Caenorhabditis elegans: one gene and its partner. The protein of the gene in region 2 interacts with the protein of the main gene of each other region in a pairwise test. Each region holds a gene or a part of one and is shown on either strand. Other genes may lie near its edges. The genes, in order: F21D5.4 and srj-14.

Region 1 (3,623 bases), on a different chromosome or scaffold from region 2:
AAAGTTTAAAGGTTTTTAGATGATTTTTATAAAGAAAAGTTTCTGAAAATTTTCATTTACAGGTTGTCCGAGTAATGTCTGCAGAACCATATGAAACCAAAGAACAATTATCACCGAAATACTATCCAAATCTTCCGATGTTTCATTATTTGACCAAAATGCTACGATTCCATGGACTATTTTTTGATGATCACGTAGTTTTCAGAGATGTTCAAGATAATTTGAAAATTATTCGCGGAAAAGTTGTTCGGCCACCAATCGGTCAAGGAAAGCGTGCACAATTGAGAGGAAAGAAGTAGTGTGGATGTTCTCGAAGTTTAAATCTAGATTAGAAGTTTTGTTGATTTTTTTTTTACGTTTGTTTTAATTGAAAATAAATTCTTTTTGAGGTTTTGCTACATTTTTCCAATAAAATTAAAGTTTTTAACACAGAAAATATCGATTATTGATTTTCTTTTTAATTGCTCCACAAATAATTGGCAGACGTTGCTTTTTTCAGCAGTTTTCAGACTTAGAATTATGAAAAGAGCAATGGATGGAGCAAAAAACGAAGCGAAAAAATCTAAAGGTTTCGATTTTGCAATTTATCTGAAAAAGTTCATCTCCGGTTTACAGATACTGATTTATTTGGACGACCACTGAAAAAGACTGGATCCTGGGAATCAAAGGTTTCAAAAATAAACTTCATTAAAAAAAACTAAAGTCTGATTTTTCCAGGACAACGGCGATTTGATGATTTTCACCCATTCAGAATGTGAAGGAAAAGAGAAAATTGCCGCATTCGATATGGGTAAGAATTGGTCACATTATTTTATTGGCGAGATTTAACTTTCCATGAGTATTCCAAATTTTGATTATGAATATCAGATATGAATTGTTTCAATGGAAAATAACATGCTATAGTTTTAGAAAAATATGAACGATAACAAAAAATTAATAAGATTTCGGAGAACGGTTCACAGATGTTTCGGTTTCTTCTACACTGTCTTCCTTCCCATTAGAATCCTTAATAAGCATCTCCAATTGTTGAAAAATGTTTATTTCTGGCAATTTCGATGATTCATTTGGTTTCTGTTTTACTTCACTCTCTGTGGTTGTACTATTGTTTCCCTCGACTTTTAAACTAGTTTCTCCATTTTCTGCATTAAAATCTTCTAGGAATCCTGAAACATTTCCTTCTGATATATTCTTCCATTCATCACTGTTAATTAGTTCAAAAAGTGATTCTTCAAGCGTTTTGTCTGTTGTGCCATCACTAGTTGATGGCGTTTTTGGGCTTGAACTTCTTGCTTTTATCAATCCGTGTCGAATCATAAATCTTTGAAGCCAACCATTACTTGCCTAGAAAATATTTTATTCGAAATTCGAGTTTAAATGTTTCAAACCTTAAAGTCTGCATTTCCATTAATTTTCTTCGCATATTCCTTGATATCTTTTCCCGAAATTTTCCCGTTTTTCGAAGCAATCCAATCTTCAACTTTCTCATCTAATTCCACATTCTTTAGCGGTCTTCCTGCTCCACCGAGCCTCTTTGCTCCTTGTTTTCCTTCTGATTCGAATGCTAATTCGTGCTGAAATTCCAGAAATTTGTTGATAGAACTACTGTAGTTCAGAAATACCTTCAAATGTCTCCATCGTTGAATACAAGCTCTTGCAACTCCATATTTCTTCTGAGCTTGACAATTATTTGTTTGTTCAGCAAATCGAATAACTTCATTTTTGAATTCGAGTGTAAAATTGGCACGCTTCTTTTTTGGTGGTGGCTCGGATGAAGTTTCAAGTATTTTAGGAGAGATTTCAGTCATTTCTGAAGTTTAAAGCTGAGAATTCTACATTTCGGTTAGAATAGTATTACTCAGATTCGAAATTTTGCGATTTCCTACGCAAAAATGCGATACTAGGTCTTGGCACGACCGAATATCCTTTAAAAAGTACAGTAATCTCCCTGCCTCATTGGTTTGATTTTCCGATTTTCACATTTTTCCCAAAAAAAAATTGTTTTTTGTGAGACAAATCAAAAAATACTAAAATTTTATGCAAAATTCAGGAAAAAAGTCGAAGATGAATAAGTCAGAACAGTGACTCGTAGAGGTTACTGTACTTTTTAAAGGTGCACTTTTTTTCATATAAACTTATTCCGCAGTGTCAAGACCGAGTATCGTATTTTTGCGTTGAAAATCACAAAATTTCGCATCTGTGTAATATTTACATTTGCATCTTTAGAAAAGATAAAATAAATAAATAGAAAAAAATCAATGAATTCTAACGTCAAGAAGAAGGGAGTGCCGTTTTAATAGAGGGTGTCCACACTTCAAGAGACAACAGACAAACATTCAGAGTGTGTATGAAGATGAAGAGACACAGACAAACATACTATGCCTGTCTAATGGAGGGAGGCTGTGACCTACAATTAGAGAACACAGACGACTAGAAATACTGAGTGGTGTATGGATATATTTTTTGATTTTCTTGTTGTTGATGAGTGGGAAAACTCACGTCTTCTATCAAAAGAAAACACATATTTTTGGCGCAGAATTGATAATTTTCACGAAATATGAAATTAGTATCAAGAAACTTGGCCTTACTGAGACTATTCAAGCAGTGAGCCTCTGGCTCGGTACATTTATCCCTTGAACCTAAAATTGTGATGTAATTTCCATTTGATTTTCTTCAAATTAAGTAGTTTGCACAAATTAATAAAAATGTAATACTAATCAATTTTTTTTTTGGTAAATTGCCAAATTTTTGTGGAAATCCCTAAAATTACTGTAGATTCGAACCCCTACAACTATTTTTTGTCGATCTCCACAACAATAATAGATGAAAACCTGAAAAAGGTTAAATTTATGAGTTGTTCTAAACTTTCTAGTGTATGAAAAAAATATTTTTGTTTAAAAAAATCGTATTTTCAGACGGAACTCTGATCAAAACAAAGTCTGGAAAAGTGTTTCCAACAAATTGTCAAGATTGGCAACTTCTATATGACTCAATTCCATCAGATTTCAAAAAATTGCATTCCGACGGATTCAAAATTGTCATTTTCACAAATCAAAAAGGCATCCACGCTGGAAAAGTTGATCGAAATGAATTTAGGAAGAAAATTGAAGCAATTGTTGGAAAACTTGGAATACCTGTTCAAGCATTTGTTTCAGTTGCTGGGGGACACTATAGAAAACCATGTGTTGGTATGTGGAATGAGCTGAAATTGAGAAATGATGAAGTGGAAATTAATGAAAAAGAAAGCATTTTTGTTGGAGATGCTGCTGGAAGAATCAAGACTACAGTACGTGTGAATAGATTCAACTTTCATTTAATTCTAATTTTATAGAGTCGTCCTAAAAAAGATCACTCATACGCAGATCGTTTCTTTGCTGCAAATGTCGGTGTTAAATTTCAAACTCCAGAAGAATTTTTCGGAAAATCGAAAGTTGATGAGCCCTGGGGACCACCAAACTTTGATCCAAAAAATCTATTTTCAGAGGAAATTACTGAACTTGAACCTCATGGTGAAATAAAATTATGAGAAAACATAAATATAATTATATTTTCAGATGCTCAACTTAAATCATCCGAAAAAGAAATTATTCTAATGGTTGGATTTCCCGGTTCAGGAAAGTCGACTT
Region 2 (4,795 bases):
CATACCGGTTCAGTGTGTACGTTTTGCCAGCTCTAGGGGAAACCATTTTTTTCTTGATTTTCATCCCATCTGTTAATTTTGTTTTTCTTTGTATTTTTACGTAATATCCTTTTCCTCCGTTTTAATTTCCCACCAAAAATTTTCTAGAACTTCATTTTAAGTTTTTTTTTTCAAAAGCTCGTAATATGACTTGCGCGACACAACACTCCAGTCTCTATCTGATGTATGACGTCGCAGACTACGGTCAAACACTCAGGTTCTTTTGTAGATAAGTAATGATATTTTTTAATTAAAAATGTTATTTAAGCTGGCACACAACAATACCCCAAACGCTGTATTAATAATTATTATCTGTATAGTTCCGACTGCGAAGGTGGATTACTGTAAAAATCTGATGTTGATCTATTTCGTAATTCTGTGATGGAAAAACCAACGCTTTTTTGTATGGTGCTGACCATTATTGTAATTCTTAAGTCTACTCATACGATGTTAAAAAAAAAGAAGTATGTGAATAAAAAACTAATCAATATTGTGAGCGCATTATTTGAAAATGAATTCATTGCTAAATGCAACAAAAAAAAATTGCGACATGTTAATTTTTTGTGACTAATCAAATTTTATGATATATTTCAAGCTCTCCGAAGCAGAGCATAAGCTAACATTTTGGACGAGCAGCTCAAAATTAACTAGTTCATATGTTATAGAAGTTATATAAGAAGCTATTTATTCGGATATGTAAAAATATATGTATGTTTGTTAATTTAAAACAGGTGGAACAGTACTGATTGGCATCACTGGAGAAACTGATGTGAAAACGGATGCACCGGTTATACGAGTTCTGTAGTTCGGAAGCAGGCAGATTATAGCAAGAGGGTCCAAGAATGGGAAAGCTGAAAACGCGATGACCCCAAAGTAGTTGTCCCACATTCCAAAATCCAAGTAGAACATTGGGCCAATCCACGCCATCATACAAGGAGAAAAACAGATGCAAACTGGGATGATTGTTTGAAATGCCAAAACTAGGAAGAGCTGCCTGTGCATGTTTCGAGTTTGTTGAGAGAGTGCAGTATGAGTTCTCAGTTTGACAACGATCTGAAAAATAACGATACAATTTGTTCTTGTCCGATTTATTCATACCTTTCTTCCCAGAATTAAATAAAACGAAACAGCGAACGAAGAAATGCTGAAAAGAAGAAAGATCCCAGCCCAACTTTTGTTTTTTGTTTCATTGCTTCCATCCTTCAAATATAAAAATTCACAATTAAATTTGTATTATAGAAATGACTAACAATGTAAAGTGCAGCCACGAAAGCAATGTCATATGAGTCGACGTCATACTCATCTCTGAAAGTCGTTCGAATGTAGTCCCTGATTTCATCATTTGCGTACAGACACAGCTCGCAAACGGCAGTCCATGCAACTCCGTGGGCCAGGAAAAATGTCATCATGCAACATATTCCCATCGGCCGGAACACGTCATCAATTAATTGAGGCCTAAATTTTTAAAAGATTATCGATAAATTGCTGAACATTTCAAGATACCTGAAAAGAGCGATGTAGCGGTAAATGAAGTGAATGATGAGAATGCCATATGACAATGCAATGAAACCACATCTGACAGAAATTGCAAACTGGGCAAGGCGAATAGTCTGAATTTTTAATTATTTTGTTAATACCATTCAGTGTTCATTTTAACAACTCACATCTTTTCCAAAAAATGGTCCATGAGCGAGATACGTGACAAAAGCTGAACCAGTTCCATGCATTCCCTGTAAAAAAAAATTCTGGAAATGAATCTTTATCTTAGTAATCTTACCAGTGGTACCAGTAACTCTACTGTTGAGTAGACCATGTCAAACACCGCAAAGAACAAAATTAAGTATCGATACTTTCCAATTGTTGCGGATTTTGGCTCGGTGAGAATTAGGTAGCCAAGTATGGGATTTAAAACGAATGACAAATATCCAAATGCCGCGGGAATATATCGATGAGCCCATCTTATATTCATGCTAAACTTGAGAAATTTGTGTTAGATTCAAAAAATTAAAATTTCTAAACTGAAAAAAAAAGAAAAGAAATTGAAAACGTAATAACCTAAGTGAGACATAAATACGAATGAGCACACATAGCTATAGCTCCATTTGTTTTTAAGAGAACCATATTAATTTCCGCATGCCCCTCGGAAGACAGACTAAATTAAAAACAAATCAAACAACTAGTACAGTTACGTAGTTTCAAACAACCAGGCTGTGATGAAAAAGATAAGAGGCTCATGTTTCTTCATCATACCTTTATTTTTACAATTACAATTTTTTCAATTTCTCATCAAATCGGAATTTAATACTTTTCTTCCAAAGAGAAGGTTAACTCAAATTCAAGTTTCTGAAACATATTTTTTCTTTGTAGTTAATAGTTAATACAATTTTCCCGGGTTTGATCAAAACTAATTTGTTCATTTTTTACAAAATCCACATGCTCATCCAAATCGGCTGAAGTCACATTTGCTAACAATTTGGTAGGAAAGATTGACAAAATGCTGAAAATTGATATTTTGTTTTAAAGACAAAACTTGTTGATATCCATACCTCACGAAATTTTTTCCATTCTTTTTGACCGCATGTTTCCGTAATCTCTTTCTTCAAGCAGTCATCTTTTCCGAAATATGTCTTACATGCTTCTTCTCTCATTTTCTGAATCTTCTTTGCGTCCTCTTCTGTATGAATCCCATTTGGAAGAGGGTCCCAGTTGTCGAAACACTCTGACTTTTTTTCGGTGAGCTTGTCACTACATTTGGAAAAATCCTCGTAGATGTACACAACAGCATCGCAATATTTTTCAACAATACGAAGCAATTCATCTTGTCACATTCACATTGGATTTTGGCCGGCATCGGAGACTAGAGAAGCAAGTGTTTAGAGAATCACAAGATCTCTCAAACTCCCTCAGTTCATTTTTCTTATCCATATCGAGCTGGTCTACTTTTTCTCCAAAGTCGCGCAGACGCTAAATTACAGATTTGAAAATTAGAACGGTAATAAAGGTTAGTTTTCAAAAAATGAACATCACTTACCACAAGACACATAAATGTTTCATAAGCAGCTTCCACAGAACAGTTGGTGCTCTTTTCTGTAACTACACTAGCAGTGTCAGCCACTCATAACAGCACAGAACTAATCAAGGCAAATTTCAAAAAACTAATCATTTTCTAAAAAATGATCTGGAAGTATTTAATAAAGGCAGACAGGAAAAAGCTATTACTGAAAATTTCCACAGTGGTGTCATGTGTATCAACGTTTCAAAAGATGATATTGAACACTCGGGCAACTGTCGTGAATCCTCAAGTATCTCTGAAAAAAGTTTTGTGTGATTTTGGTTTGCGCTTGTTTGTTTGACAAAATCTAATGTATGTCTGTTGATATTCTGGCAGTTTTTCTGTCACATTCTATCCCAAAAACTCAGTGTTGAACATGGGTATCAGTTCATCAGTTTGAGATATAATTCTTTGTATATTTTAGAACTCCCGCATTGGTAATCTAATATATTTGAAAAATGCTATGAACAAAAAGAGCAATATCAAATAAACTATTTTTCTGATGGTATTTGTACGAAGAGCAGTCGTGGGAAGTATGTTTAACCTAATTGGTTACTTCAAAAAGTTGAAACATATTTTTCTCGTTATTTCCTCCATGTTCCGGCTATCATTGTTAACTTCAGAAAGAAGACAGATGGCAGACGAAATTGCAATTGCATATTAATATTGCACATTTTTCACCTGCTTACTATTAGGGTGTTCGATAAGTTTTTTCGTTTTTTCTCAATTTTGATTTTTTCTCAAATATTTTTTTGTGATTACATAGAAGTCAGTGAGTAATGAAAATTTTATAAATACCAACCAGTTCCGGCAACTTCCAGACTGCATCATCTGCCTTCGAGTGGCCGAGAATAAAAAATAATTTTTTCGATTTGTTTGGTTTTAGGTTTGAATGGAAATGTTAGTGTTTCACGCAGTTGGAAAACTTTTGTATAACGCAGATTAAAAATATCAGGCAACGAAAAGCTCTCCTTGATATCTTAAAATTTGAAAAAGTACCGAAAATTAGTAGCAAAAATGACAATTTTTACTTCAGAGGGGTATATCTTGGACTGCGTGACAGATTTATATTCATGAATAACTACAAAAATGTTAAGCATTTTAAAATGAACAAGTTATGTGTAGACGGCTTTTTGGTATCTTTCACCGTTCAAAAGTTACACATCGGAGAAGCCTGCCAACTCGAATTTTTTAAAGTTTTGAAAATTGGACGTTTGTCTGAATATCTCGATTTCTAGCAAATCTATCAAAAAATTTATAACTACAAAAATAATGACCAATTATTTCTACACATTTTTGTAGTTGGTCATTTTAAGATATCTTTTATAGCAACAGAGTTATCGCTCCTATAAGAAAAAAACTGAAAAATTTGATAATTTAATTGAAAAAAATTCAATTGAAAACCGAAAAAAATGTTTTCTATGGATTTTCTATGGATATTAATGTTTTTATTATGGTAATATTATAGAAATCAAACAAAAAAACACAATTTCCGCACAAGTTTTTTAATTCTTCAACGAATTTTTATCATTCTTCGATCAAATTATCTCATTTTTCGGTTTTTTTCTTATAGGAGCGATAACTCTGTTGCTAAAGAAGATATCTTAAAATGACCAACTACAAAAATGTGTAGAAATAACTGGTCATTATTTTTGTAGTTATAAATTTTTTGATAGATTTGCTAGAAATAGATATTCAGACAAA

Evidence for each region.
Region 1: the proteins of srj-14 (region 2) and F21D5.4 interact in a two-hybrid assay, tested with the Caenorhabditis elegans proteins (one large-scale study listed by BioGRID).

Annotation. Positions count from the first base shown.
Region 1 is NC_003282.8:8,736,271-8,739,893, reverse strand, and holds F21D5.4 (HTH CENPB-type domain-containing protein), read right to left. Parts: upstream 1,808-3,623; 5' UTR 1,806-1,807; coding exon 1,620-1,805; intron 1,572-1,619; coding exon 1,386-1,571; intron 1,342-1,385; coding exon 934-1,341; 3' UTR 793-933; downstream 1-792. Other genes in the region: mrps-33 (Small ribosomal subunit protein mS33), read left to right, coding at 1-11, 63-299; F21D5.5 (uncharacterized protein), read left to right, coding at 520-568, 616-668, 718-790, 2,913-3,283, 3,329-3,506, 3,552-3,623.
Region 2 is NC_003283.11:7,368,046-7,372,840, reverse strand, and holds srj-14 (Serpentine Receptor, class J), read right to left. Parts: upstream 3,134-4,795; 5' UTR 3,071-3,133; intron 3,004-3,070; 5' UTR 2,586-3,003; intron 2,537-2,585; 5' UTR 2,009-2,536; coding exon 1,817-2,008; intron 1,770-1,816; coding exon 1,704-1,769; intron 1,650-1,703; coding exon 1,543-1,649; intron 1,495-1,542; coding exon 1,290-1,494; intron 1,240-1,289; coding exon 1,138-1,239; intron 1,093-1,137; coding exon 757-1,092; 3' UTR 710-756; downstream 1-709.